Linked DNA regions of Elephas maximus indicus. The protein of the gene in region 1 binds, or shares a complex with, the protein of each later gene. Links are inferred from orthologs where the notes say so. Each region holds a gene or a part of one and is shown on either strand. Other genes may lie near its edges.

The links.
Region 2: ALYREF (region 1) and THOC7 share a complex: the UniProt entries of both Homo sapiens proteins name them as parts of the transcription/export (TREX) complex. The link is inferred for Elephas maximus indicus from reciprocal best matches to the Homo sapiens genes ALYREF and THOC7.
Region 3: ALYREF (region 1) and MAGOH share a complex: the UniProt entries of both Homo sapiens proteins name them as parts of the ALYREF/THOC4-EJC-RNA complex. The link is inferred for Elephas maximus indicus from reciprocal best matches to the Homo sapiens genes ALYREF and MAGOH.
Region 4: ALYREF (region 1) and EIF4A3 share a complex: the UniProt entries of both Homo sapiens proteins name them as parts of the ALYREF/THOC4-EJC-RNA complex. The link is inferred for Elephas maximus indicus from reciprocal best matches to the Homo sapiens genes ALYREF and EIF4A3.

Annotation. Positions count from the first base shown.
Region 1 is NC_064837.1:71,682,360-71,689,351, forward strand, and holds the start of ALYREF (THO complex subunit 4), read right to left. Parts: upstream 3,016-6,992; 5' UTR 2,960-3,015; coding exon 2,726-2,959; intron 2,258-2,725; coding exon 2,126-2,257; intron 710-2,125; coding exon 562-709; intron 1-561. Other genes in the region: ANAPC11 (anaphase-promoting complex subunit 11), read left to right, coding at 4,241-4,349. UniProt on the Homo sapiens protein: Functions as an mRNA export adapter; component of the transcription/export (TREX) complex which is thought to couple mRNA transcription, processing and nuclear export, and specifically associates with spliced mRNA and not with unspliced pre-mRNA.
Region 2 is NC_064838.1:69,157,930-69,165,093, reverse strand, and holds the start of THOC7 (THO complex subunit 7 homolog), read left to right. Parts: upstream 1-4,159; 5' UTR 4,160-4,273; coding exon 4,274-4,292; intron 4,293-7,164. UniProt on the Homo sapiens protein: Component of the THO subcomplex of the TREX complex which is thought to couple mRNA transcription, processing and nuclear export, and which specifically associates with spliced mRNA and not with unspliced pre-mRNA.
Region 3 is NC_064821.1:96,524,020-96,530,991, reverse strand, and holds the start of MAGOH (protein mago nashi homolog), read left to right. Parts: upstream 1-3,950; 5' UTR 3,951-4,064; coding exon 4,065-4,152; intron 4,153-5,782; coding exon 5,783-5,841; intron 5,842-6,972. UniProt on the Homo sapiens protein: Required for pre-mRNA splicing as component of the spliceosome. Plays a redundant role with MAGOHB as core component of the exon junction complex (EJC) and in the nonsense-mediated decay (NMD) pathway.
Region 4 is NC_064837.1:70,016,954-70,024,824, reverse strand, and holds the start of EIF4A3 (eukaryotic initiation factor 4A-III), read left to right. Parts: upstream 1-4,857; 5' UTR 4,858-4,948; coding exon 4,949-5,117; intron 5,118-7,871. UniProt on the Homo sapiens protein: ATP-dependent RNA helicase. Involved in pre-mRNA splicing as component of the spliceosome. Core component of the splicing-dependent multiprotein exon junction complex (EJC) deposited at splice junctions on mRNAs.

The DNA.
Region 1 (6,992 bases):
AAGACATCACATTCCAGTCCAGATGCCACCATACCCTGGGGTCCATGCAAAGACTGGAAAGGGTCTCTCTGTGCCTCAAATGCTGCCAACAAGGACACAAGCATGAAAACACTGGTGGAGAAACAAAAACAACCCCACCACACCTCATCCTTCTTTTCCTGTCTAGGCAGGTGGGCTGTCTGGTAACCTGTCTGGGGTTCTGGTGGGTAGAGAGGTGTGGGTGACCTCACAGAAGAAGGACCGGTACCTTTGTCTTTACGACTACAGCCCCGCACTCAGAGGTGTACTATGGCAGTTCTGAGAAGGCTTCACAGAAGTGAATCTTCCGGAAGGAGCTGAAGGAGGGGAGGGATGTAGCTTGCTGGATGGGGGTTCACAAGAGGTTGGTCCCGATGTGTGGGGCAGCATGAGAGGTGGCAGAATGGAAGAGAGAGACAAAGGGGCAAATGCAAAGTGTGCTCAGCCACGGGGAGGGAGCCACATTTCTATATGACAGGTACCAGCCCCAGTGCCACAACGTAGGATCTGGCCCCTCTCATCCTGGTCCAGGCTGATACTCACCGTCCAATGGCACGCCATTGTACTGTTTCATCGCTTTCAGGGCATCCGCCTTCCGCTCAAAGTGCACGTCAGCGGTTCCTAAACTCCGGCCAGACCGGTCATAGTGCACTGCAGCCTTCTTTAAAGTTCCAAATTCAGCAAAGAGTTCCTGGAAATCAGGAAAAACAAATTAACAGAAAAGCTGTGTCCCAAATACAGTTCCTGCAAGTGTGATCTGCTCTGGGGTGTTTCCCTGGGAGACAAACATATGCAAGACAAGGTAGCGGGGATGGGAACTGGGGCGGGGGGGGGAGGGGGCTGGCAGACAGCAACTTCCTACAGCAGGTGGGTCTGAGGGCCCCTGTCGGCGTTGGGAGTGGACATCGATTTCATGAGGCAGGTGAAGGAAGTTGCAAAGTCCACTATGAAGGACACAAAATTAAGTCACGATTATCTCAGACCAAGGAGACGTCCAATCAACAGCAAAGGCCATGATCACAGAGCAAGGGAAGCTGTCCACACAGTGGAGCAGCCTGGAGGGCACTGACGGAGGAGCCCTGACCCCAGCCCTCCCCCAGGCAGGTTCTGGCTCACCTTTCCCTCTCCTCCTACTCAAGCCTGCCGCAAAGGCTGAAGTCAAGCGCTGCCATGGTAACTGCCCTGACCTCAGGCAGGCTGGGAGTTGGAGAGGGAACCCAGAGAGTGGGGCTACTCCGGCCGCAGGCACACAGCGGGAAGTGGAGTTCACCAAAAGCGGTTTCCAGTGGATGCCAGAAACCACCTTAAAAAAAGTGTTGAGACACTGTGAGTGCTCACCAGCCTTGCTCTGTCCTTCCATGGCAAAGTCACACGGCTAGACTCTGGGAAATTGAACCCAGAAAGGCCCAACACCCTGACCTAGACATCTGTAAAACTAAACCCAGAACTTACTCCTTAACCAAAAAACCAATTTAAACATATTTGGGATTCAATTAAAAAAAAAAAAAAAAAAAAGCCACGGGCTTTGACCAAACACGGTTTGAGAATCATGCCACAGATGAGACGTGGCGAGTGCTGACAAGTGAGACCAGGTTTACAAAAAGCTATACAATAGGACAGGACTCAGGCAAACATGACAGGAAAAACACTGAAGGAAGATCCTCCCGCTACACTTCATTCGTTTTAGCAACAAATTTTCTAAATCCCAAATCATCATCATCAAAATCAGCACAAAATTAGAGCAAGCAGCGGGGTCTGTCACTGATACCTGAGACCCATTCACATTTTAACCAATCCTTTCCCTGCTACAAGTTGGAAGCTCTAGCAGGGGCTCATAAGGCTCACAGAGTGCGTTTCAGTGCTCAGAAGTAGCTCCTCAGACTGACACAGTCCTATCTGCAAGCACAGACGGGCCTACTCGTGGAACTGTCAACTTCAACACAATCACTGCTTGACACTATGTTCAAGCTACAAAGTGGCCGCTAACACGGGCACAAGGCGATCCCGTGGTTAGCTGGGAGGGCTCACTTTTCTAAGGTGGGAAGGGAATTCGGGGCCACATTTCAAACTGTGCAACTCTGCTCAACGAGAATCTCACGTTCCTTACCTGAATATCAGCATCCGACACTCCAAAATCCAGATTTGACACCAGCAGTTTCCCACCGGTCTCCACGCCAGCACCGCCCCCAAAGCCGCTGTCGAAAAGGTCGTGTTGCCATTTGTCTGGCAATTGTTTCGGCTGAAGGGGACGAAAAACCCACAAAAACAGAAATAGGCCCGTCAATCGCACTCCAGGCCTCGCTCGCGACTACCACAGACCCTCTCTCCTCCGGGTCTCGGGGGCCCCAGCTCCGGGGGCTGCCGTCGTCCCAGCCGCAGGCCCCATGGTCCCGACGCGGCCACACAACTTCTCAGTTCCTTCAACTAACTTCCCGCCGCCGTCGCACCCAGCGCACCCTCGGCTCCTGGCCGTTACGAGGCCCCGGGGCCCGAATAAGACAAACGACCAGAGAAGGTCTCTGTCTCCGGTATCTGCCCGGGTGGCGCGCCCTCGCCCCCGCCCACACCTCGCGGGCGCCGGCACCCGGGTCCGACCGCTCCTTCGACCCCTCTCCGCCCCCGGGCCCGGCCAAGCCGCGAGCCGCTCCCGCCCGGCTCACTCCCGCCGCGTCCCCGGAGGCTGGCTGTCCGGCTGCCCCCTACTCACCCGGCTGTACGGCGCCGGCCGGTTCCTGCCGCCGCCGGCTGCGCCGCGGGCAATGGCCGCTCGGTTCCTGATGGGCCCGCCGCCTCGGTTCACTCGCGCGGCGCCCTGCGCTCCGCCGCCGCGGCCGCCCTGGGAGCCGGCCCTGCCGCGGCCCCGGCCCCCGCCGCGGCCGCCGCGCTGGCTCCGGTTCAGTTTGATGATGTCGTCCAGAGACATGTCCATTTTGTCGGCCATGGCGGGCGCAGAATCGGCCTCGGCTCGAGCCCGCGCGTCAGCACGCCGTAGCGTCACTTCCTTCGTCGCGCGGGGCCTTCTGGAGCCGCGGCCTCGGAGCGGCTGCTGATTGGCTGCGGGCGGGTGGCTGAGCTCACGGGGCAGGGCGACGCAGGCGCACTGGCGCGCAAAGCTCCGCGGGCGCTGCTCGAGAAGTGGCAGGCAGCGGCCGCGGTCGTTTTTAGACCTTCCCGCGCGGACGCCGGCGCTGCCAACGGACGGGCGGGCGGGGCCGCGCCGATTAGGTCGTAGAAGGTGCGCGGGTTGGACGGCAGCCGTTGGGGGCGGGGCCTGGGCGGGGCGCCCTTTCCCACGCAGCCCCGCCCTTTGCCGGCCTCGGGTCGCGCTGCGGAAGCCTGGGCTTGGGGGGAGGGGGGGCACTGGGGCGGCTGGGCTCGGGTTTGGGGGGCTTCTGAGGCGAATGGGCTCGGGAGGCCGGACTGGAGGGCGGCCGAGGTGGGTTCCCGACGTGGCCGGGGAGCTGAGGCCTGACTTGGCAGCGGGAACGCCGAGCTTCCTTGGGCGGTGACTGGGTCGTTACCTGCATTTCCCACCTCCCCGTCCACCCTTCCTGACGATTCATGTCTGGGCACTTTGTCATCTGGTTCTGTCGTCAGGTACTGGATTCACCTCGGGCTCAGCCCCGAGGCGGGTGGAGGCCCGGAGTAGACGCTTGATTTTTTTTTTGGAGTGGTGGGGGAGGATTTCTGGAGGTGAAAACTCACACCGAACTGGAATTTTGGCCTCCATCTGTAATGCCTAAGCTGGTGGCTCTCATTGTTTGCTAATCGCGTCATTTTAAAGAGTATTGTTTGGCATAGTTTTACAGTTCTCTAGTGGGAACCAGCAGACCCTTTTATGAGCTTCAAGGTATAACTCGAGGTCCGTGAAGGCGTTCTAAATGTGGTTGGCAGAATGGAACGCTGGACAGACTCACGCTGTCCTAAGCAGGATCTGAGGCTCCTCGGGTGCTGAGTCTTCTTCCTTGGAGATGGGTCTCCAGCTTTCTCCTTTGATTCTAAAAGGGATTCCTAGTAGATGTTTCTTGACAGCGGAGTACCACCTCTGTGCACCTTTTCCTGCCCTCTGAGTGGAGCTGCACCCCATTTGCCAAGCCACTCACAGCAGTGCTGACCCTCTTGGATAGGGCAAATATTCCTTCTTTGGTGCCCAAATGTTCCAGCTCTGCATACTAAATTTAACAAGGTAATCCTCTTCCCCCTAGCCTGAAGGCTCCAGGCCATGAAGGTGAAGATCAAGTGCTGGAATGGTGTGGCCACTTGGCTCTGGGTGGCCAATGATGAGAACTGTGGCATCTGCCGGATGGCCTTCAACGGCTGCTGCCCAGACTGTGAGTACACCCCTGCTCTGTCATGAGCTCTGTCTGCTGGCCTTTCCTAGTAAATACCTGCATGCAATCTCTGGGTGTTAATATCCCGTCCCTGAAGAAGAGCTGACATCTAAAAAGCCAGGCAGTTTGGGCCCATGTTTGTATAATCCAACCCACGGTTTTGAAGGAAAAAGCATGCAGCCTTGTGATGTAATCAGACTCAGCTGTAAAACACACAGATCAAAAACAGGTGTTAAAACTTTTTATTTGATCGTTTTCAAACAGACTAGAGTGGTATCAGCACACACATACCCATGTAGCACATGGTGTTGACAGGTAATGGTATTTTACCACTTTTGTTTCACTTTTTTGCTGAAGTATTTTAAGGTAAGTCATAAACATTTTGATCTCTCACGTCACACACTTCAGCCACATCTTGAAACCTGACTCGCCAACTTCTTCTCCAGAGACAGCACTTTGGTCACTTCTGACAACACAGCAGTAATCCCTTAGTGCCGCCCGGTACCTCCTCCTTGTTCAGATCGCTCTAGTTTGTCCCCAGGTGGTTTTGTACGGCTGAGTGGTTTGAACCAGGATTCCACATTACATTAGGATGCGTTTACTCTTAAGTCTCCTTGATCTAGAGCAGTTCCGTCCTTTTGGGGCAGGCAAGAGCCTAGTATCTCACTAGAACTTGATTTCTTCCGGTGAAATTCAAGAGATTGGGTTTCAGTACAAACAAGATTTTATTCCAGGCTTGAGCTCTTCGTCTGCCTGGCCAGAAGGAGATCTCATCACTTGGGATTAACAAATCCTGATCCCATCAGGCTGGAGGGATGGGATTTGATGGGATCGTTGATTGACTGTCCTTAATCAGGCTGTGTTGTTGATTGTTGGGTTCAGTCAATTCTGACTCATGGCAACCCCATGTGACAGAACTGCCCCATAGGGCAACCTAGCAGATCACAAGGCCTTTCTCCCGAGAAACTGCTGGGTGGGTTTGAACTGCCAGCCTTTCAGTTAGCAGGCAGGCAGTTGACTGTTTATGCCACCTGAGTAGCAAATGAGTTTAGTAACGGAATTTCTAGAGGTTTGGTTTGATTTCATCTTTTTAAATCGCCCTTCATAAGGATGCCCCAGATACTGAAAGCCTGCAGGGGCAAGGACTTGCAGTTTCCGGAGCAAGGAAGGTGTTAACTTCTGCAAAGTCCTGGAAAGCAGCTTGAGCGAACGTGTTGTGCCTGTGCCTAGGCTAGCTGGGCATTGGTGTGTCACTGAGTCTGTGTTAGTGGTGGCCCCCCGTCCCTGCGCAGTGGTGGACGTGCACACGGCCTGAGGAACCTGGCCTGTGTGTAATCAGCAGGTCCTAGGACTTGACACCACCACACTTGTGTGATCCACTCAGATTGTGTTAAAATGGGGACTCCTTGCTGTAGAGGATAGCGACTGGGGGTCCCACCTGTGGACTGGCACATTGTTCAGCGACAGTGATCCCGTTTTAATGTGCAGAGTGTTTGACAGCTTGTCTTAATTATCTAGTGCTGCTCTACCAGAAATTGTACAAGTGGATGGCTTTAACAAAGAAATTTATTCTTTCACGGTCTAGGAGGCTAGAAGTCCAAATTCAAGGTGCCAGCTCCAGAGGAAGGCTTTCTGTTTCTGTCAGTTTTGGGGGAAGGTCCTTGTCATCAATCTTTTCCTGCCGAGGAGCTTCTCAGTGCAGGGACCCCAGGTCCAAAGGATACGCTATTCTGGCTTTTGTTCCCTGGTGGTATGAGGTCCCCCATCTCTCTGCTTGCTTCTGTCTTTTATATCTCAAAAGAGATTGAGTTAAGGCACAACTTAATCTTTTAGATTGAATCCTGCCTCAATTGGCATAGCTGTCACTAATCCCATTTTATCACATCATAAAGATAAGATTTACAACACATAGGAAAATCATATCAGATGATAAAATGGTGGATGGTCACACTATCCTGGGAATCATGGCTAAGTTGACAGATACTTTGGGGGGACACAACTCAATCTGTGACACAGGTCTGAGGTGCTGTCTCCACAGGTGATGGGGCACCAGGCTGCTCTTGATAAAATCAGAGTGGCTAAGGTCACAATAAACCACCTTATCCCAGAGAGTTCAGGCGTAAAACAACGGTGCACCTTCGGGTGAGTCATCAGTGTATTTGTCATCACGTATGTCAGCAGGCTACTTGCACAGCCACACTTCCTGCCTCCCTTGGGCCCAGAGCAGCCGTGACACCCCTACTCAGTAGGCAGGCCTGACACCCCTAGTCAGTGGGCAGGTGTTGACACCCCTACTTAGTGGGCAGGTACTGAGTGATTGGCTTTTCTCCCCCGTTGTCAGCTGTTGTGGAGCCTGGCCCTTGTTCATGGAGACCCCGTGTACAACAGAAGGAAATGCTGCCCAGCTCTGCACCATTCCTGTGATTAGTTGCAGGTCAGACAGCTGTGACCCATAGGGTTTTTATTTGCTGGTTTTCGGAAGTAGGTTGCCAGGATTTTCTTCCTAGTGCATCTTAGTTTGGAAGCACTGCCGAAACCTGTTCGGCATCATCGCAGCACCAAGCCTCCACTGACAGATGGGTGGTAGCTGCGCATGAGGTGCCTTGGCCAGGAATTGAACCTTGGTTTCCTACATGGAAGGCA
Region 2 (7,164 bases), on another chromosome or scaffold:
TTCCTCGGAGAGACAGTCAAGATGCTAGGGAGCCGCTACTGTCTCTTTTTGCCCAGCATCAGTGTCCTCAGCTTTTCTAACCACACCATTTCCTTCAACCTTCCCCCAGGTGTCTACACTGCAAGGACCACTTGTTCCTAATTCATTTTTTAAATCCAATTTCTTGAAATGTTTTAACTTAATACTTTCAGCATACCAATTTTAATAACTTATTATCAAATAACATGACTCTACTTTTTTTCACGTTTGCTCAGGTATTTATTTTTGATTGTTGTGGCAAATGTTACCCAAACCTAGCTTCCAGGTCCCTCCTATAGGCCAAATGAGGAGCTCAAAGTTTTTTACAGAAAACATCATGCCACCCTCCAACACATACACGTTATTAGGTGGGCGCTGTTCAAATGAGGTACCGGAAGGTAAAGCAGGTAGAGCAGCTACAGTGAATGGGGGAGCCCAGATTTGAACTGAGGTCCGCCTTGGCACAGAAACTATGTTTTCCCCATCATGCTCTGCAGTCCTGCCAAAGTACAAATGTGTTTTCTTAGGACAATTACTTCCTAGGCAAATTTCAAATTTGCTAGAAGAGCAAAAAAGAGAATGGAGCTGAAAGAACCACTTACTCCAAGGGCTGGCATCATACTCATGTCTCTGCTTATCCATTGTCAATTATCTGGTCTGAATTTTTAGATATAATTTAAAAACAGCCACAGTGGCCCCAGGACTGGCACAGCAGGCTGGCTTGCCCTCTGTGTGTATGCATGGCCTATCAACTGCTGGCAACGCTCTCCTGTAGGAAGAAACCCAAGAGTTTTTGCACCTCCAGGACATCCTGGCTGGGGGAAGACAGCTTTAAAAGGCAAGTACTGAGCACAAAGATCCACTTTTTCTTAATTCTTTTCTCCTAAGAATGAGTATTCTTAACTTCCATTCTATTTAATAAAAAAGGTATGTCTCACTTTGACCCCTGGATCTCTTTTATAAAACAGGTATAGACAGACCCTCTCCCCAAGAAAAATACACATACACAAAAAAAGTTTTGGTCACAACTACAGAGGCTTCAGGAATCCTTTCAAGTCCACTCATGGGTTCCTGGAGGCCCACAGACCCTTCTTCTAAAATAGAATAACCCTTCTTCTAAAAGCGTATGACAGAAACGCCTTCATCGTTTCACAGGCCCAGGGTGAAGCCACCAGCCAGCTCCCTCATCATTCTTTACACTTTCTGAAGGTAAATGGTAAATGCAGACTCAGACTAACCTCCTTGACTAGCCCCTCATACTCTCAAAGAAAACAGAATGATTTGAGTAAATCAAAGTCACTAAATCTAAGGTCATACAAGTTCAAAGTCCAGATCAGTTTTGTTATAACTTAAAATCTGCTACTTCCATTTCTGTGTTTCTGTCCACAGACACCTCCTTAGAAACAGAACTTCTAAAATTTACTAAAATATCTTCCCTTGCTATAAACTGTTTTTCTAACATACATGCATACGTGTGTGCGTGCATGTATACACACACAATATGAAGACAAAGCAATTAGAAAAATTCTTAAATGTTCAACACAAATTTGTGTCAATGCACTTGTGAATTAAAGTATGTAGCTGGAAAAGGAGATTTTAAAGAGGCCATAAAGGTTCACATTATGTTGTGTTTCCCACTACTGAATCAAGAACTTTCAGGAATGTTTATTTTCAAGTACACCTCATACTTTAACCCTTTCACGCTCACAGGTACCTGTAGGGACCAAGCACTTTTTTCTGCCTCTGAACGTTTATGGGAAGCTGCTGGACCACTGACAGTCTGTGCCACCGAAAGGCAGGGGTCTTTAGGACTGTCTGAGGGTGAGGAAACGGGAGTGTCCTGCAACAATTACTGTTTTTGCAGGGTATTGTACAAAGTGTCTGAATTTCTGGTAGGAAAAACAAATTTTGAAAATTTTTATTTGTTACATATATGTACTAATAGGCCCCACTGGGGACGCTGGGGTATAATTAACGAACGCTACTTCATATGCACTGCTGAACATTTAGAGTAGGCTTTTTTTTGTGGGAGGGGGCAAGGAAAAAAAAATCCATTCTACCCACCAAAAATTCAGATACACTCAATGATTCGGCACGCTTCCCTTAATGAAAACATACTATCAATAAAAAATTCAAAGCAGAAAATAATTGGTTCACAAAAGTGTTAAAGCAGGTCTTTGAACAGGCAACTTCAGGTTCAAAACCCTGCTGAGAATTTCCATTTCTAACAAGTTCCCACGCAAGGCTAAGGCCGCTGGTTAGGAGCCAATTCTGAGAATCACTAGCAGAGTAGTGGTTCTCAAAATTTATTATAAGAATCACGAGGGGATCTTGTTAAACTATAGATTCTGATTCAGTATATCTGGGGTGGAAATGCAAATTCTCAGCAGGGGTTCAAAACAGAAGAAACAGGTTTGAAGTCCTCCTTTAAAGTCTTGGTATTAATACATTAGAAATTTCTGAGCTCTGTCCAACAAAATTATAAATTACTAACTGAACTTCTGAAAGTGTCTGCAAGGCTCTATCTGTGAAAAACTGACAGAATGTCTCGTGAAAATACTTCCGAGGGGCAGTAACACATTCCTATAAAAACATTAAAGCTTATTTTAAACCATTAGATACTGTTTCAAAATCAGTATTATGATAAAACCGAGTAACAATTTAAAAAAACATCATTTCATCACTTGACAATTACCTTTTGAACAACAACAATCCCCACTAAAATGTCACTGTGGCTAGATAATCGATTGAAACTTTCAGTTTACTGTTTGTAGTGAAGATTTAAAGCAATCCTTCTGGTTAGCGTTCCCTCTCTCTAAAACCCAGTAACTGAACAGTCTGATGCCATGTGGAGCCAGCGTTTGGGCCCAATAGTGTTTCAAAGCCAGGGGAGGTTTCATATCCTAGGGGAGGGCAAGTGAAACCTCCGAATCTTCACTCACGGTAATTTAAAAATCGAAGGTGCTAATTCCTGTCACCGCTGTGAATGACACTATTGAAGTTTCTGGACTCGTGGATGTGTGTAAAATTTTGCATACGCCGACGTCTAGCTAGAGATTGAACACACTTTACAGCCATACGTTTGCATTTACAGCTCGTCCTCTTTGAAAGAACTAGGGAAAACAGGGAGGACCAGTCCCTGCTAGTAAAATACAATCAACAAAATTGAAACCACCGAATCCATCCTATACGACTGCTGCATCCGGATATGAAGACGCAGACAGTACTTGGGAGGCAAGAAAACGGGAAGAGAGTCACGACATGGCTCGGTAAAACACCAGAGCCGGCTCGGAGCTCAGCCCGGCGTCTTGCGCTAACTACCCATCGGTCCACCGAGGTCAACCCGGCTGCGCCGGTGCCCGGCTCCGGGCCGCCCCTCACCACTGCGCCGCTGCCACCTACGGGCACCTCGGCCAGGTGGGAGCTGGGGGACTTCGGGAAGGGATGCCAACAGCATCTGCAGGGCGCTCCGGAAACGTGTAACTCTGCGCGGAAACCAGCGTTTCTCATTGGGCCCCCACCCCTTCACTTCCAACTTCCCCTTAACACGGGGACGGGCGCACAAGACTTTTTTTTCTTTTTTTAAAATCAAAGCAGCAGATGAAAGCAGCCCTCGGTGGCCGCCGGCGGGTCCCGCTCCGTCGGGGAAGGGGGTGCCCGGCGCTGGTGCTGGGCGCCGCCCCCCAGGCCGACAAGTTCCTCTCCCCTTCCCGCTCCCCAGCACCTCTCAGCCCGGGAAGACGGCGCGGCCGCAGGGCCCGAGGCGCCCCCCGCACCCGGCCTCCCCGTGGCCGCCCCGCGCCGCGCAGCCCTGAGGAGACCCGCCGGGCGCGCGGGCGCCAACTTCGCCGGACCCTCGGCCGCGCGCCCGGCTCAGCCCGGAGCCCCCGCCGCCCTCAGCACCCCCGGGCGCCAGGCCCCCCAGCGGCGGCCGGACGGGGTGGTCCCAGGGAGGGAGCTCACCTGGCGGCGGGCGGCGGCCTCCGGGCGGGCGCGAGGGGCGGCGGCCGGGGCTGCACGGACGCCGCCGCCCGCCGGGACTCGCCTCCACGCGCCGCCCCCGGCCGCCCCGGCTCACGAGGCGCGGGGGGCGCGGGTCCCGCGGCGGCGGCGGCGGCGCGGCTCAGGCGGCGGCGAGGGCGGCCGCGGGCGGCGCCTCCTCCTCCATGGCTGTTTACCCGGCTGCATTGTGGGAGTTTGACCTCCGCCGCCGCCGCCAACCGCCGCCTCAGCTGGCGCCGCCGCCGCGCACGCCATGGGAGCCGTGACTGACGGTGAGGCCCCCGGCCGCCCCGGGACCCGCTCGGCGCCCCGGCCAGGCCCCCGGCCGCCCCGGAGAGACCCTAGTCTTTCTCCCCGGCCGCCTCCTCAGGACCCCCCGCCGCTCCCCCGAGACCCTCGGCCGCCTTGGGACCCCGGCCTCCCCAGTCAGACCTGTCGGTCTCCCCCGAGACTCCCGGCCTCCCTGGCCGCTTCCGGGAGCCCCTGGGCCTCCCCGGTCAGACCCCTCGGAGCCCCTGGGCCTCTCCCGAAACCCCCAGCCGCTTCCGGGGGCGCTGGCCTCCGCCCGTGTCCCCCGAAACCCCCGGTGACTCCCGGAGGCGGCGCAAGGCATGGAGAGGGGGTGCTGGGAGGGGGCTGGGCGCCCACGTGGGGCCGGGGCGGCCGGAAGCCGGACTGGGACCCCGAGGAGGCCTGGGCTGCCCGCGAGGTGACGGGGAGCCCTTGTGGGGGGTGGGGGTTGTGGAGGGCATGGAGCTGGGGGTCCGAGCGCCTGTGGAGGGCTGGAAGGGGATGGAAGCGCAGGGGTCAGGCGGGCTATCGGGGTGTGGAGGCCGACAGCTGGAGGGGTCCTCTGGGCAGACTGGGAAGGGGCCCCGAGCTACAGTGACTGGGAGTGGGGAGGGGCAGCTGGGGACGTCATCTGAAAGGAATAGATGTGGATGGGGTGCCTGGAGGGCAATCTGGGAGTGTGCCTGGAGACTTATTTGAAAGACGAGGAGCCACTATTGGGTGGGGGCAATAAAAGATTTGTGTGTATCCTAGGGAAGGTGGTTTGTTGGTTGGACTGGATGGAGGGAGGCTGGAGACAGAGGCTGAGTTTGTGTACAGTTGTGAGGGCAGCTTAGGAAGGTGGACGTGGTCAAGAAGGGCCCAGGGGGTGGTCTAGGGACTGAGGGCAGAAATTGTGTGGCACCCTGGGGAAGGTGGACAGGTATGATGAGCAACTGGGGGAGAGCCTAGCTTGGGGGAGGGGGTCTTTGGTCACCGGGTCTGTTAGAGGAGAGGGTGACCAGTAACTATAGATGCCTGTGGAGAGACCACTTCTGAAGAGTGGGGGCAGACAGGGTCTCCATATTAAAGAGCTGGGCAATGGAAGGGAGAGTGCTGAGCCCAAATTTGTGGATACGGTAAGGAGTAGGGGAGGTGGGAGGCTGTGAACGATCCAGAAACCTCATGAGGAGTTTCAACTTTGCTTCATTCCAGTTTCATTTATTCAGTAATATTTATCCTAGCTGGGCTAGGCCTTGGGATTACAGCCCAGAATGAACAGGCAAGATCTTTCTCCCTTTGAGGTTACAACCATTCCGCGGGAGAAAGGTGCAGCAGTCCGCTTCCATAAAAATTTACAGCCTCCGAAACCCTATGGGGCAGTTCTACTCTGTCCTGTAGGGTCGCTGTGAGTCAGAATCTACTCACCAGCAATGGGTTTGGGTGTTTTTTTTTTTTTTTTTACTTTTCTTTCTTTCCCAGAACCAATTGATTTCTCACCTGTTAGCCATGTTATTTTATGCATGTTGCTGCAGTGGTCCTCAGTCTGAATTTATTTACATGCCTTATTCCAGAAAATATTTACTTCAGCTCACCATAGTGAGAAAATACAGAATAATGTAAATAGATGATAAAACAGGGCAAAAAGGACATTGAGACTAAGAAAAACAGGAGGAAGCCAGACGCGGGGCAATCTTTAAAATGCAAGAAGTGAAGTGTGGTGCGTTAGTTAAGAAAGCTACAAGTGGCTGGGCTCCCTTAGCGGCCCATCCAAGAGGTGAGACCTTTCCACTCTGTGAGCCAGTGTTGGTGACAGAACGCAGCATTAGATACCCTGGACAAACTTTTCGTCTGATTTAAACACTAGAGAAAAAGTTTCTCTTTGAGGTCCTCATAAAGAGGAGCCAGTGTCATTCTTCAACCCCTTTGTTGGCACTGAGAATCATGGGCTGTTTCTTAGCACATCTCTGTTATAGGGGAAAGTAGGCTAAATCACAATTCAGAAAGGCGTGTTAAAGCCAATAAATAGCCCGTGTGGTTAGGTGGGTAGCTCTGCTGGCCTGGTTAATCCAGAGCAGAGTTTTTTGCTTTTTGTAAGAATATTTTAGACCATAAAAGGAAAAGACAAACCACAACGTCTTTGGGCAGTCCTCTATAACATGGGTTTCCTCATCTGAGCTTTTACTAAAAATCGAGATGTGAATAGTATGTGTGATCAGTAAACAAGTATCTATCGCGTACCTTATAGGCACAATGCAGGATGCTGGGGTTACAGCAGTAAGCTAGACAGAGTGCAGCCCTGCCCATTGGGAGAGAGAAGCAATAGCATGCAAACAAATAAGTAGATAAGATAGTTTGTGAGAACGTTATTAAGTTCTGAAATTGATTATGTTCTGAGAAAGAATGTAGTGTAATGATGACAAAGTAATGGGGAAGAGTGCTGACAATTAGGTTAAGATACAGCCATCAGGTAAGACCTCTCTGAGATGTAACATTGGAGGTGAGACCTGAAGTGGAAGAAAAGGAGCTAACTATGTGAAAAGCCCAGCAAAGTGTTCCAGGTACAGACAATAACTAGTGCTTTGTGCCCTTTAGGAAGATAAGGCCAGTAAAGCTGGGTGCAGGAGGGCCAGGAGAAGTGAAGTCCAAAAGGAGGTCAGAGACATACACCAGAGCTCCCAAAGAGCCGTACAGACGATGGGAAGGAGGCTGGATTGCCTTCTGTTGGCACTGGGAAGTGATGGGAGGACTGTGAGCAGGAGAGTTAGCAATCTGATACATCTTGTAGATCACTCTGGACTGCTGTGTAGAGAATAGATGCTATGCAGGCGAGAATGGTCCTGAAAAGTTCTTGGAGAAGTACCAGTACCTGTC
Region 3 (6,972 bases), on another chromosome or scaffold:
GTTATTTGCCATGTCTGTAGATGGCCAGCTTTACCCGTTATAATTCTTATGATTTCACTCTTGGAAAATAGCCTTGTGGTGCTTCCTGATGCCTATGGTAGTGGTGGTGTTGTTGGCATAGAGTCAGTTCCCAGTCACGGTGACCTTACATGTAACAGAACAAAATGTAGCTTGGTCCTGTGTCATCTTCATGATCTTTGACATGCTTGAGCCCATTGTTGTGGCTATTCTGTCAATCCATCTCATTGAGGGTTTCCCTCATTTCTGCTGACCCTCTACCAAACATGATGGCATTTTTTAGCAGTTGGGTTTTTTCTGATGGACGCCATAGACATCAGGAAGCACCACAAGGTTATTTTCCAAGAGTGAAATCATAAGAGTTATAATGGGTGAAGCTGGTCATCTACAGACATGACAAATAACAAAAATGCTCAGAAAATTTAAAAAGACAGCCAGCTCCAAGCAGGCTATAAAGTGATCCAGGTTCTTGGGTCATGGTATAGTTGAAATAGATGGTCATGCCATTCTTGCTTCTCAGGAGCATTCTGTATTTATTGCTTCTAAGACTGATTTGTTCATTCTTCTGGAAGTCCATAGTATCAGTCAATATTCTTTGCCAATACCATAATTCAAAGGCATCAATTTGCCTTCTGTCTTCTTTTTTTTCATTGTCCAGCTTTCACATGCTTATGAGGTGATTGAAAAGACCATGACTTCGGTCATAAAATTACCACCTCAAGATTGTCGTTAGCTGCTGTTGAGTCTGGCCCTGACTCATAGCAAGCCCATGCACAATGGATCAAAATGCTGCATGGTCCTGTATGGTGATTGGCTGGGATTGGACCATTGGGACCTACAGAATTTTCATTGCTTGATTTTCAGAAGTAGATCACCAAGCCTTTCTTCCTAGACCATCTTAGTCTGGAAGCTCCGCTGAAACCTATTCAGCCTCGTAACAACACACAAGCCTCCACTGAGGGATGGGTGGTGGCTGTGCTTGAGATACATTGGTCCTGAGATACCAGGTCTCCCGTATGGAAGGGTAGAATTCTACCACTGAACCACCACTGCCGTCCAACCTAGGGGTTTATTTATTAGGTGCTTAATGCCTGGTGGTTCCCTTCTGTTTTTTATACAGTTCTCTCGTTAACAAATCCCGTGTTATATAATAAAAATGTCTTACGGTTTTGTAGCAATTTATAGTTCGCAAAGTATTTTCCAAGACATTGTTTCTTTTCATCCTGACAACAGTTCTGCCAAGTGTATAACACTATTATGCTCATTTTAAAGATAAGGAAACTGAGGTCCTAAAAGCTGAATTAGTTTACCTAAGGTCACAATGAATCACTTTTATACAAGGGATTATTATAATCCAGGTCTTCGGTTATTTATTTTTCTCCACCACGGCCACTCTACACTCTGCTACCAGTGGTTTTTCAGGGAGAAAAGAAGTAATGGCAAGACTGGAAATGAGAATCAGGGCCACTGGCCTAGGTTACAGAATAGTATACAGTTACAGTCACCAGACCCCAAGAATAATGTCCTCTCAGCACCATCTAGAACCAATTCCATTCCCCCTCTGTGGCTGGAACTTAGATGATCTAAAGCAGGCTTCTATAATTAGGGTTTCAATTGCCCTTGGCTTACTGAACTTGTAAAAATTTTTCCACGGCCAGAAAACCTTCACAGAAGTCAACCGCTGTGGCCTGAAAAAATGAATCAACCCTGACTCACTTGAGAAGCTTTACAAAAAAAATACCAATGCCCAGGTCCACCATCAGAGATTTTGATTTAATTGGCTTGGCATGGAGGCCCAGGTGTCTGCATCTTTTAGATGTTTCCCAGGTGCTTCTAACGGGCAGCCAGGCAGGGCTGAGAATCACTGCTGGGCAAGCAGTATATAGATAGATGTGCAGTAGGAGATCAAATGTTCAGTTTAACTTCTTTCTACTCACAGCACCTACTCTAGAGACCAGTGAACAAATAACCATTCACAAAAGACTGTTGCTGTTGTTAGTTCCCTTTGAGCCACTCCAACTCATAGCAACCTTATGTATAACAGAAAAAAAATGTTGCCCGGTCCTGTGCTATCACAATGATTGTTATGCTTGTGTCCCTTGTTTCAGCTATTGTGTCAATCCATCCCACTGAGAGTTCCCCCATTTTTGCCAACCCTCTGCTTTACCAACCATGATGTCCTTTTCTAGCGATTGGTCTTTCCTGATAATGTGTCCGAAGTCTCACCATCCTCACTTCTAAGGAGCATCATGGCTATTATTTCTTCTAGGACTGATACTTTCATTCTTTTGGCAATCCACAGTATATTCAATATTCTTCACCAAAAGGTAGAAAAGGATAAAATAAGGGTTAACCAGGGGTTTCACCAGGTGAAATCCACGTGAAACTGTGCATTACAGATTAGTAAGTAAGCACAAGTAAGCCCATGCTTACCTTGCTTACTGGGTAATCCGCCCCCATCAGGGGATTGTAAATTTGAAAAGAGGCTTTGATTCTGTAGGAAGGTGCTATGGGGCTGGGAAAGAGATGCCAGCGATACCCAGAAGCAGAATCTTTGATGTGAAATTATTCACTATGATGATCTGGTAAGCATCATGCTTATCTTGCCTATTGGATAATCCGCTCCTGGAGATAACCCAAGTGCCAGCGAGTTTGTTTCAGTAAAATGGCAATTCCACCTGTGAATTCAGGGAAAGCATCACAGAGAACAGTTCTCTTGAACTGGTATTTAAACAGCAAAGTTCAGACAAAGTCGCCTGTAGACACACCACCCTATGCAGTGGTTCCTCTTTAGCCCTATAAGGTAGGAGTCATTTAACCCCAATTTACCACTGAGAGGAAACCCTGGTGGTGCAGCAGTTTAGTGCTATGGCTGCTAACCAAACAGTCAGCAGTTCGAATCCACCAGGCGCTCCTTGGAAACTCTATGGGGCAGTTCTACTCTGTCCTATACGGTCACTATGAGTTGGAATTGACTTGATGGCACTGCGTTTGGTTTTTGGTTCTTGGTTACTATTGAGACGACATAAGTCCAGAGACCTGACCCAAGCCATGCTCTTTTTAATCGCCTTATATGCACGCGGAAGCTGGACAATGAAAAAGACCAAAGAATTGATGCCTTTGAATTATGGTGTTGGCTAGAACATTGAATATACCATGGACAGCCAGAAGAAAGAAACAAATCTGTCTTAGAGGAAGTACAGCCAGAATTCTCCTAAGACGTGAGGGTGGTGAGACTTAAGCTCACTTACTTTGAACATGTCATCAAGAGGGGCCAATCCCCGGAGAAGGACATCACGCTTGGGAAAGTGGAGGGTCAGCGAAAGAGAGGTAGACCCTCAGTGGGATGGATTGACACAGTGTGGCTACAACAATGCGCTCCAACAGCCACGACTGTGAGTCTGGCAAGGTCTGGGGAACCTTTCGACCTTGTTACACACAAGGTCGCTGTGAAAGGTAGCCAACTCCAAGGCACCTAACAATAACAACAAGATCCGGAGACAGTGAAGAGGCTTTCCCAATTCACACAGTGTCAACGGTTGAGCCTGGAGGTAGGCAGGACTCAGGATGTTCAGTCAGGGCCTTTAAAGGAGTGGTTCCGACCTCATCAGGGTCAGAGCCCCACGCCCCGACTCTTTCCAGCGACTTCCGGCCTGAATCCCCAACTAGACCCCGAGCGGGTAAAGGAAATCTCAACCTTGACCCCTCCTCCGGGGGAGAGGGGCGGGGCAGCCCTGGCCCCGCCTCTGGAGGAGGGGGTGCGGCAGCCTTGGCCCCGCCTCCGGGTGGGAAAGGCGAGACAACCTCGTTCCCGCCTCTGGGCGAGAGGGGCGGGGCGGCCACGATATGCCTCCGGATAAAAGGGGCGGGAAGTCTTGTTTCCGCTCTAGGAGGAAGGGGTGGATGGCGAAGAAAAATCTTTCGGATGTAGGCCACCGTGCTGCCGGACGTCACTTCCGTGCGCCGCACTCGACGTCAGTGTCAGGCGCTTACAGCGGCGGTGCGGCTTAGTATTAAAGTTTGGCCTCGGTTGGCTTTTGCGAGCTATGGAAAGTGACTTTTATCTGCGTTACTACGTGGGTCACAAGGGCAAGTTCGGCCACGAATTCCTGGAGTTCGAGTTCCGACCCGACGGTAAGGGCGGGCCCCAGGCTGTCCGCAGCGGGGACTAGGCCTCGGGGCGGGTGAGTGGGGAGGTTGGGGGTCCGGAAAGGGCAGGGAACTAGAGCTAGACCTGTGCTGCGCGGGAGTGAAAGGAACGCTCTTGTATACGCCCCACTGGTTCTGCCTTTGTGCAGGGATTCTGTTTAGTGACTTGTGCTTCTAGTTTAGAAAAGAGTGCTCTTGCTGTCGAGTGCAGAGTGGGCAAGAGGGGAAACAGGGCTACTTATCGAGGAGTCATTTACAGTTGTCAAAACAAAAGGGTTGTTGATTGGAACTAGGGTGATCATAGAAGTGGAGAGAAGGATTTAGAATACTCTTGGAGGCAGAACTAATGGGGTGTTGCTGATTGATAGAATTTGGGGAGGAGGCGCTGTGGTGAAAGAAATGAATCAAACATGACAGAAAACTTCTACTAACTGGGAGCACAAAGATGGATCAAACAAGCCCTGATTGTGAGGAAGACGAGCAGTGACAAACAGTGTATTAGGTGCTTTGGTAGAAAGAAACAGAGGGGGCACCTAACCTATACCGAGGTTCGGGGAAGTCTTCCTGAATGAAGTGATTTGAGAGGGGAGGAAGATGAGTCTTTAGGAATGTATAAGAGTTGGTGAGAGTCAAGAACGCATTTTGGAGAGCATTAGCAGCAGACGATCTGAAAACTAAAAAATGCATGGGATGTTTCTTGCAGAAACCAAGTAGTTTGGTTAACTCCAACTTTGTAAGAGGAGAATATTGCAGGAGTGAGGCTGGAAAAGCCGGAGGGGGCTCATCTTAGCAGTATGCTGTGCTGAGAAACTTGGATTTTTCAGAAAGGCAGTGGGGAGCCATTGGTACTATGAAAGCACTAGAGTAATCAGGTCTGTTACTAGATCACTTTATCCACCGCATGGAGAATGAGTTTAAAGGTGAAAGGCAAGAAACAGTGCAGATGTTGTTGCAATAAATTTAGCTCGTTTTACATGTGTTTCTTCTATTCTACAGGGTAAAAACCGCGTCTTCTATTTCTTTTTATCTTCTTTATCCCCCAGCATATCTCCAGCTTAGCTTGTTGAATGGCACACATGGAGGCTCACAAAGGGCCTTGTATACTGCACGCGCTCAGTGATAAAAGCACAACATTTCCATCACAGGAATAGATCAGAGGGTTGCATGATCATATGATAATATATATAACCAGCATTTTACAGATTTCAAAATGCTTTCAAAACTCATTTGGGCCTCAGGAGGCCCTGTACGCAGGTAAGTTATCAATTAGAGTCCCTATTTTCAAGTGAGGACATTAACCCATAGAGATGTGATTTGCCCAAGCTCACAAAAGAGCCTGCCTGTATTCTGTTAGCACACCTGAGCTGCCTTTTGCAAGAAATATAGTTCAGTGTCAGCTATAGTTTTGGCTGTGAGGCTGTTTAATAGCCTAAAGTGAAGAGCTAAAAAGACTAGTATTGTTGAAACACCAAAGGTTTAAATAGTAAATCCGTTAGACAATTTGAAGAGAAAGTTGGAGGATACATTTTGAGCAACAGCTGATAGTATTGGTAGCTAATGATGCTTTGGTCTTTTGTTTTCATTGTACACTGAATTTGTTTTTTGCTTCTCACAGGGAAATTGAGATATGCCAACAACAGCAATTACAAAAATGATGTCATGATCAGAAAAGAGGTATGAGCCTTCTGAGAACCCTTCATTCACTGCAGTTCAGCCCTTTGCCTTGTGTTGTTTTTGTTCTTCCTGGGAGTGGTATTAAACACAAAGAATAGGGCAGTAGACATATGTCTGTTGGCAGCTTCTAAAGTCTTCCTCAAATCTTCCTTTAGTTTGTGTTTGCTTTTTCAATGCTGAATCAATTACTAGTAATCATTTGGAGTCTGGCAGATCTAGGTTTGAACCCTCAATCTGCTGCTTACTAACCATATGATCTTGGGCAAGTTCCCTGGCTGAACTAGCTCAGTCTCAGTTTCTTCATCTGCAAAAGCAGGGATAATAAAACCTGTCCTCCTCACAACTCCTCAGTACTCTTGTAGAATTAAATACATTATATATAAGGTCCTCGGGGAAAGGGAGCATGAGAAAGCAGTTAACATTCATTGAATGCATGTTAGACACCAAGTCTGGCACTAGGTATTTTACATATATGACATATATGATCTTATTTAACACTAAAAAAAAAAAAAAAAAAATTTTTTTTTTTTTTTAACTCTATTGTAAGCCCATGTGATGGGTTGTATTATATCCCATTTGGTAGATAACTGCTTTCAAGTTGATTCTGACTCATGGCAACTTTATGTACAATAGGACAAAATGTGACCCAGTCCTGTAGCATCCTCAAAATGTTCAAGTGTGGCATGTTCAATTCCACTGCGGCTGTTGTGCCAATCTGTCTCACCAAGGGTCTCCAGTGCCCTCACTGGGCCCTTTATTTCACCGAACATGTCCTCCTCTAGTAATCGATCCCTTCTAGTGACATGTTTAAAGCAAACAAGTCAGACAGTATTCTGTTATGATCCGTAGTTTTTACTGGCTGGTTTTGGAAGTAGATCACTACTTCTTTATTCTTAGTCTCTTAGTCTGGAAGTTCTGCTGAAACCTATCCACCACGGTGACCCTGCTGGTATTTGAAATACTGGTGGCATAGCTTCCAGCATCACAGCAACATGCAGGCCACCATGGGACAACAAACTGACAAACGGGTGGTGGATATCCCTTTCACAGATAGATAAATGAAGCCTCAGATATTAACTAAGGGGCTTATTCTAAGTCACCCCTACTAGTAAGAGAGAGAGTGTTAATTTC
Region 4 (7,871 bases), about 1.7 Mb from region 1:
GGACAGGGTCAGCGGAAAAGAGGAAGACCCTCAAACAGGTGGATTGATACAGTGGCTGCAACAATGAGCTCAAGCGTAACGACGACTGTAAGGATGGCGCAGGACTGGGCAGTGTTTCGTTCTGTTGTGCATAAGGTCACTATGAGTCGGAACTGATTCGACAACGGCACCTAACAACAACAACAATCCCATGTGACTGGCGTTCTTATAAAAGAGGAGAAGAGACAGGAGACAGAGGAAGGATGCCATGTTATGATGCTGCAGCTGCAGTCAAGGAAGGACTGCGGCTACCAGAAGCCAGGAAAGAGGCGGGAACAGATTCTTCCTCAGAGCCCCAGAAGCAATCAGTGTGGCCAACACCCTGATCTTGGACTCTCGACCTCCAGAACTGTGAGAGAATAAACCTTTTTTTGTTTTTTTAAAACAATTAATTTATTGAGACAAGAAATTCCTGTTCTTGTAAGCCACCCACTTTGTAGTATTTTGTTATGGCAGCCCTATAGGGTCACTATGAGTTGGAATCAGCTTGACAGCAATGGGTTTGCTTGTTTTGGGTTTAGGGAACTAATACAACCCCTCCTCCCAAAGAGGTGGTGGGGCGGGGGAACACCACCAAGTGGCTCATACAGCAACCATGATGAAATGTAAACTCCATTTTATAGGCTATAAAATCTTTTATGATCAGGCCCTGCTCACTTTTCCCTTACTCCCTGATGCCCCCACCCAATCTTCCCACATTCACTATGCCACAACCCTCTGGGTGTATGTCCCGTCTCATGCCTGTCTCCAGGTCTTTGTACCCATGGCTCCTTCTGTTTGGAACACTCTGTCCACCACCCCTCAAGTCAACCTTCCTCCAGCCACCTGGATAAACTGACTACCCAGTTCCTCTCTTCCACTTCACCTTATTGCCTTTTCTCCCCCGTAATTATGGAACCTGCAGCAATCTTATTTGTTTGGGTGCTTTGTCAGTCTTGCCCTACACTGGAATGTATGTGCTGTGAGGGAAGGTGCCGTCCGTCTGGTTCACCGCTGAGTCCAGCATCCAGGACAGCGCCTGCTCAATGGGTCACTGTTGCCTGGATGGTTGACCTACGCGAGGGCCAAAACCAAAACCAAACTTGTTGCCATCGAGTCGATTCTGACTCATGGCAATCCCACGTGTTACCAGGTAGAGCTGCTCCATAGGGTTTTCTTGGCTGCAATCTTCACTGAAGCAGATCGCTAGACCTCTCTTCCGCAGCACTGCTGGGTGGGTTCAAACGCCAGCCTTTCAATTAGTCATTGAGGACAAACCATTTGTTCCACCCAGTGACCTCATGCAAGTGCAGGAGTGCAGAAGTTGGGGCAGAAGCAAGGTGGGTTCAGTCAGTGCCTTGTAAGGTGCCCACCCCAGCCAGATGGGTTTAGAGAGGGCTGAGCCTAGAAAGGAACAGTGTTTGTCCTTCAACACCCCGTGGTGGGCAGGGACCTATGGCAGGAAGTCATGCAGTGGGGACATCTTCTGGGGTCAAGGTTACTTCTATCTAGGGCATCACCTCGTGCAGTGATGACTCATGCAAAACGCAGCGCAGAGAGCAGCACTACACTCAAATCTTTGCTGCTTCTGGACAGGACCAGCCACCTTAACCTTCTCCACCAGATCCCAAGAGTCAACATGGATACAGGAAAAGAGACAGCCAGCTCTTGAGAGGTGGAGCCACGTGGCTATTCCCGCTTTGCCCACAGCCCCTGTGTGTGTTCACGAAGTTCCTGAGGCAGTGCCCTGTATCCCCCCTTCCTCTCGCCCTGTGCATCACACAGTCAGCAAGCCAAAAAGCATTTACTGAGTACTAGTGTATGCTATCTGGATCATAACAAATTATGGATAATATTGCAAAGAATGGGAATTCCAGAACACTTAACTGTGCTCACATGAAACATATACATAGACCAAGAGGCAGTCATTTGAACAGAACCAGGGGATACTGCATTGTTTAAAATCAGGAAGGGTGTGCATCAGAGTTATATCCTTTCGCCACAGTTATTCAATTTGCATGCCGAGCAAATGATCTGAGAAGCTGGACTATATGAAGAAGAACAGCGCATCAGGATTGGAGGAAGACTCATTAACAACCTGCGTTATGCAGATGACACAACCTTGCTTGCTGAAAGTGAAGAGGACCTGAAGCACTTACTGATGAAGATCAAAGACCACAGCCTTCAGTGTGGATTACACCTCAACATAAAGAAAACAAAATCCTCACAGCTCCAATAAGCAACATCATGATAAACGGAGAGAAGACTGAAGTTGTCGAGGATTTCATTTTACTTGGATCCACAATCAACACCCATGGAAGCAGCAGTCAAGAAATCAAATGATGTATTGCATTGAGCAAATCTACTGCAAAAGACCTCTTTAAAGTGTTAAAAAGCAAAGATGTCACTTTAAGGATGAAGGTGCTCCTGACCCAAGCCATGGTATTCTTAATTGCCTTATACGCATGTGAAAGCTGGACAGTAAATAAGGAAGACTGACTAAGAATTGATGCCTTTGAATCATGGTGTTGGTGAAGAATATTGAATATACTATGGACTTCCAGAAGAACAAACAAATCTGTCTTGGAAGAAGTACAGCCAGAATGCTCTTTAGAAGCAAGGATGATGAGATTTTGTCTCATGTACTTTGGACATGTTATCAGGAGGGACCAGTTCCTTGAGAAAGACATCATGCTTGGTAAAGAGAGTTGGTGAAAAAGACGAAGACCCTCAACGAGATGGATTGACACAGTTTCTGTAACAATGGGCTCACACATAATGATTGTGAGGACAGCACAGGATTGGGCAGTGTTTCATTCGGTTGTACATAAGGCTGCTATGAGTCAGAACTGACTGGAAGGCACCTGGAATGGTTACAGTTTTGTGCCAACTTGGCTGGTACATGATTCTCAGTGGTTTGGGAGCTATGATGTAGTATGGTATTTGTATGATGTAGTCACCTCCATGATGAGATCTGATACGATATGATCATCTCCGTGATGGGATCTGCTGTAAGTAGCCAATCAGTTGAAAGGGAGCTTCCTTGGGGGTGTGCCTTATGTTCAATATATGTGGACTTTCTGGCAAAGCTCACTGGTTTTTGCTCTTCCCTGGACCCTGCATTCAGCTCATCAGTATCTGACCTCCAGTTCTTGGGACTTGGGCCAGCAGCCTGCTCTTACCTGCCGATCTTGGATTCATCTTACCTGCCAATCTCGGATTTATCAGCCCCTGCAGCTACGTGAGTCAGAAGCAACCAGCCTGACCCATAGACTTGGGACATTCCAGCCTCTACAACCATAAGGGCCATTTCCTTGAGATAAATCTCTCTCACTCTCTATATTTATAATATATGTATGTACGTGTGTGTGTGCTTCATTGGTTTTCCTTCTCTAGAGAACCCAGCCTAAGACAGCACCTAACAACTCTATGCTTGGGACACAATGGTGAGCAACACATACCCGGTCCTTGTCCTCCTGACTTTAGTCTAATCAGGTGAGACACCTCCTGCCCCTCGAAAAATATAAGCTGTGTGGAGAGTGAGGGGCAAGAGACAGAGAAGGTGCTGAGCCTGAACATAATGGGTAAGTCCACTTCAGTGACCCGGGTGTCTGTTGCTCTTGAGACATCAAGGAGGCTGGGATGAATGGCCCAGGGGTAACAAGCAGAATAAATCCATGCTTAGGGAACTCAGAGCTAGAAGTTCGTATAGTAGAAAACAGATCTTTTATTTTTGTCATCACTCAAGACAGATGGGTCTGAGTAATTGTGGGGAGAATAGGGCCCTTCTCAAAAGAAGAGGGTTTTTCTATGAACAAACGGTACCCTCAAAGGACACATACTATACAATCCCACTTATAGGAAATATCTAGAATCAGCAGATGCATACAGACAGAAGCAGATTAGTGGTTACCAGGAGCTGGGCAGGCAGAATGGGAGTTACGACTGAAGGGGTAGTTTCTGCTCGGGGTGATGAAAAAGCTTTGGAAACAAATAGTGGTGACAGTTCCACAACAGGGCGAATGTAATTAATGCCACTGAATGGTATAGTGAAAAGGGAGCTCTGGAAGATGAACCCTCTAGGTTGGAGGGCACTCCTAACACAGCGGCCCCAACAACGGACTTGAACAAATCAACGGTCAAAAAGATGGCGGAGAATCGAGCAACGTTTTGTTGGCTCAACAGCAACTAAACTCTGGTAGGAGCTTTCATCAGTCGCATTAGGAGATTAAAAAATGGCAACATAACCAGAGTTGACAAAAGGCAGTTTAAAAACTCAAAAAGTTTCCGAATGTCAGCGATTTGAAATATGGATTTCCATCTGGCTTTGGTAATAATTTCACACGGTGAGATATTAGCCAGTAATAACATCAGCCTAAAACGTATAAACGAGTAAATATACATATTTTAGAGAGTCATACTCAAATTATTTCCGCTCAAGGCGGAATCACCGGGAGACCCTGCCTAAGTGCCCGGGTGCCGACCCTCTGCCTGACTCCAGGGTCTCCAGTCTCACGCCGACTCGCGGCTGCCATACGTAGTGACCGTAATTTAGGGCAATTTCACCCTGCAGCTCGGGTAAGCCCACTAACGCGACCCTGCCCCACCTTGGGTAGGAATGTACCCACAACACACTCGCGCCGGGCACCGCCAGGCCCACTTCCTGCAGCCTCCGAGCCACTTGTACTGCCTCTTTCCGCGAGATCTCCAGAGCGCGCGAGAACAGCGACTCCGCCCCTTTCACGTGACCGAGAGCGCCCCGCCCCTCGCAGGCGCGGCCCGGTTCCGCGTTCGTACGCACGCACGCACAGGCAGGCGCGAGCGGTGGCGTCACTTCCTGTCGGAGGCCGCAGCGGGTCTTTGCTTCCGTTTGCCGCCTCGGACCAGCCGCCGTCGCAGCGCGCCCGCTCGTCTTTGCTCACTCGCAATCATGGCGGCCACGGCCACGATGGCGACCTCGGGCTCCGCGCGGAAGCGGCTGCTCAAAGAAGAAGACATGACCAAGGTGGAGTTCGAGACGAGCGAGGAGGTGGACGTGACGCCCACGTTCGACACCATGGGCCTACGGGAGGACTTGCTGCGCGGCATCTACGCCTACGGTGAGCGGCCGCGGGGCGCACGGGGGGCTGGCGCGCTGCGGAGCGGAGCGGAGCGGGGGCACTAGGGCGGACGGGCCTTCCGGACCTGCCCCAGAGGTCGGGGTCGGGGGTCGGGACTCGGGACGCGCGATTCCACGCCCCCAGCGCGTCCGCCAGCAGCGTCGGTGTCGGTTCACACAGTTCTCAGTGCTGAGCGCCGTGCTCGGTCCAGTAAGCACCTCACAGCCGTTCTGGGTGCATTGCACCCACTAGGTGTTAGGCCGGAGTCCTGGTGGCGCATTGGTTAAGCGCTCGGACGCTAACGGAAAAGTCGGCGGTTCTGACCCACCAGCTACTCCGCGGGAGAAAGATGTAGCAGTCTGCTTCTGTCAAGATTTCAGCCTTGGGAAGCTTATGGAGGCGGTTCTTCGCTGCCCCGTAGAGTCGTTATCAGTCAAAATAGACTCAGTGTGGCAAAGAATTTTTTTCTAGTTTTAGGTGTCAGGCAAAGAACTGGGGGCGCAGTGGTTAAGCGCTCGGCTGCTAACTGAAAGACCAGCGGCTTTTTGGAAGAAAGGCCTGGCGATGTGCTCCGGTAAACAGTGCAGCCTAGGAAACCCTGTGGGACAGCCCCACTCTGGCGCATGGGGTCGCTATGAGCAGAAATTGACTCCACAGCACCCAGCAACAGCAAGTGTTAGGCAACAGGCGCCAATGTAGGCTTTGGGGAGGTGGAGAAGCAGACACGTTCCCACGTCAGGGGGCTTTAATTGTATCTGTGAGAGGGACAATAACTGAAGCTATTTCAGACAGTTGTAATTGCTGTGAAGAACATAAAGCTGGGTGATTGACTAGGGAGTGACTGGGGGAGGGGAGGGGAGGGCAGTTTTAGTCAAAAAAGAGAAGATAGGTAAGAGGTCTCCAGCAGGAGGTGACACTTAAGGTGTGGCCTGAGTTGAGGAGCCGGCCGTGAGGAGACTGCTTGTGGAAGAGCATTCCCAGCAGAGGGCACAGCCGGTGCCAGGCCCAGAAGCCTGACTGAGGCCAGTGTTCCAGGAACAGAAGGGAGCCCAGGGGTGAGTTTGGAGAGGTAGTCGGGGCAGTTGTGGAGAGCATTGTGTGATGTGATAGAGAGCTTGAATTTAATTTAGGAGAGCATTCTGAATGTTCTGGGAGTTGGGGGGGTAAGGTAGGCGTGGAAGCAGGGGATGAGTTAGGAAGCTTTTGTTCCAGTCCCTGTGAGAGGTGATGGTGTTGTCACGGAGACAGAGAAGACCAGTAGAGCCAATGTGACTGGATTCGCTAATGGAGTGAATGTAAGTGGCAGAGGGCAAGAGGACTCGAGCTTGATTCCTCGGTGTTTTGAGGAACAGGGTGGATGATGGTGCCACTTGCCTAGGTGGGGAACCCTTGAGGGAGGCAGAACTGGGGATGCTGTCTTGGATGTGGGGACCTTGAGAGGCCTAGGATCCATCCATTGGGGTGTTGGGTGGGCTGTTGTCTGTGCAAGTTTGGAGCCCAGGACAGAGGTCAGGGTGGGCATGTGGATATGAGTTATCAGTGAACAAGGTAGGTGGTCTGTTTTCAAAGCATGGGACCGAGACGTGTTTTATCCAGACTGTTTTCAGCGACATGACACCAATCAGACGGTGAAGAGGCAGAGCTGAGGCCCCGGGGTGAAAGGGCAGCATTGCAGCAGGGCCTGTGCTGAGGCTGACTGCTGTGCAGTAGATTGCTTTTACATGGCTTTTTTTTCATGGTCTTAGGAGGTGCCTTCGAATTGGTTTTGACTCGTAGCCACCGTGTGTACAATAAAGCAAAACACTGCTTGGTCTCGTAACTCCCACCAAATGATCGGGTGGAACTATGCAAATGAGTTGCTAGTGGCCCACCAAGGGGATTGGATAGCTTGCTAATAATGCAAATAAAGTGCATGGCATCCTTGTGTGTGGGGGGGGGACCATGCAAATAAAGTGTATAGAACCCTAACAAGGGGATTGGTCAGTTTTTTCCATCTCGCTAGGCTTAAAATGAGCCATCCCAGAGGCAGAAAGGGGGGGACGTCACTACCACCAAGAAGGGATGAGCGTGGAATCTGTTCCTTGGACCCAGGATCACTGCTCTGAGAACCTCCTAGACTCAGGAGACAGAACTGTAATGTGAGGGACAGCAGGAAGTGGTGGCAGAGAAATGGCAGCAGCAGAACCACGAGGTAGAATGAGATGGCGCAGTGGCCTTACCAGCCCACAGAGTTAGGCAGTTACAGTGGGTGCGCTGGCCAGTGGAGCAAGAAAGCTGGGGAGCACCTTTGGGCCTGGCTTGCTGGTGGATTGGGGTGTCCCCGGGCAGTTATTGGCGGAGCTAAAGAGCTTTGTAACACTTACCCAAGTGGGGCAGGAAGGCCAGGCGGAGGCCTGCCTCTGGGCATGGCTAAGAATATACTGTCCTGATGGAAGAACTGTATCCTGAGTCATTGTTCCTGATCCTGAATTGTAACCTGGTACTTCTCTAACAAACTCCTTAACTGTGAGTATGGTCTGTGAGTTCTGTGTGGCTATTGCAGCGAATTATCAAACCCAGCAGAGAAGTAGAGGGTGCACTGGGAGGGACAGCTGGTGTCAGTATTGGTAAAAAGGTTGGACAGAGGAGGTACGTTTGACCTCCACATCATAGGAATCAGCCTTGGGCTGTTGATCTTGATTCTCCTTCCCCCTTGTGAAGTTAGAGGAGGTCAGAAGCCCCCGCTGTGCCATTTTTACAGTTATGTTTCCTGTC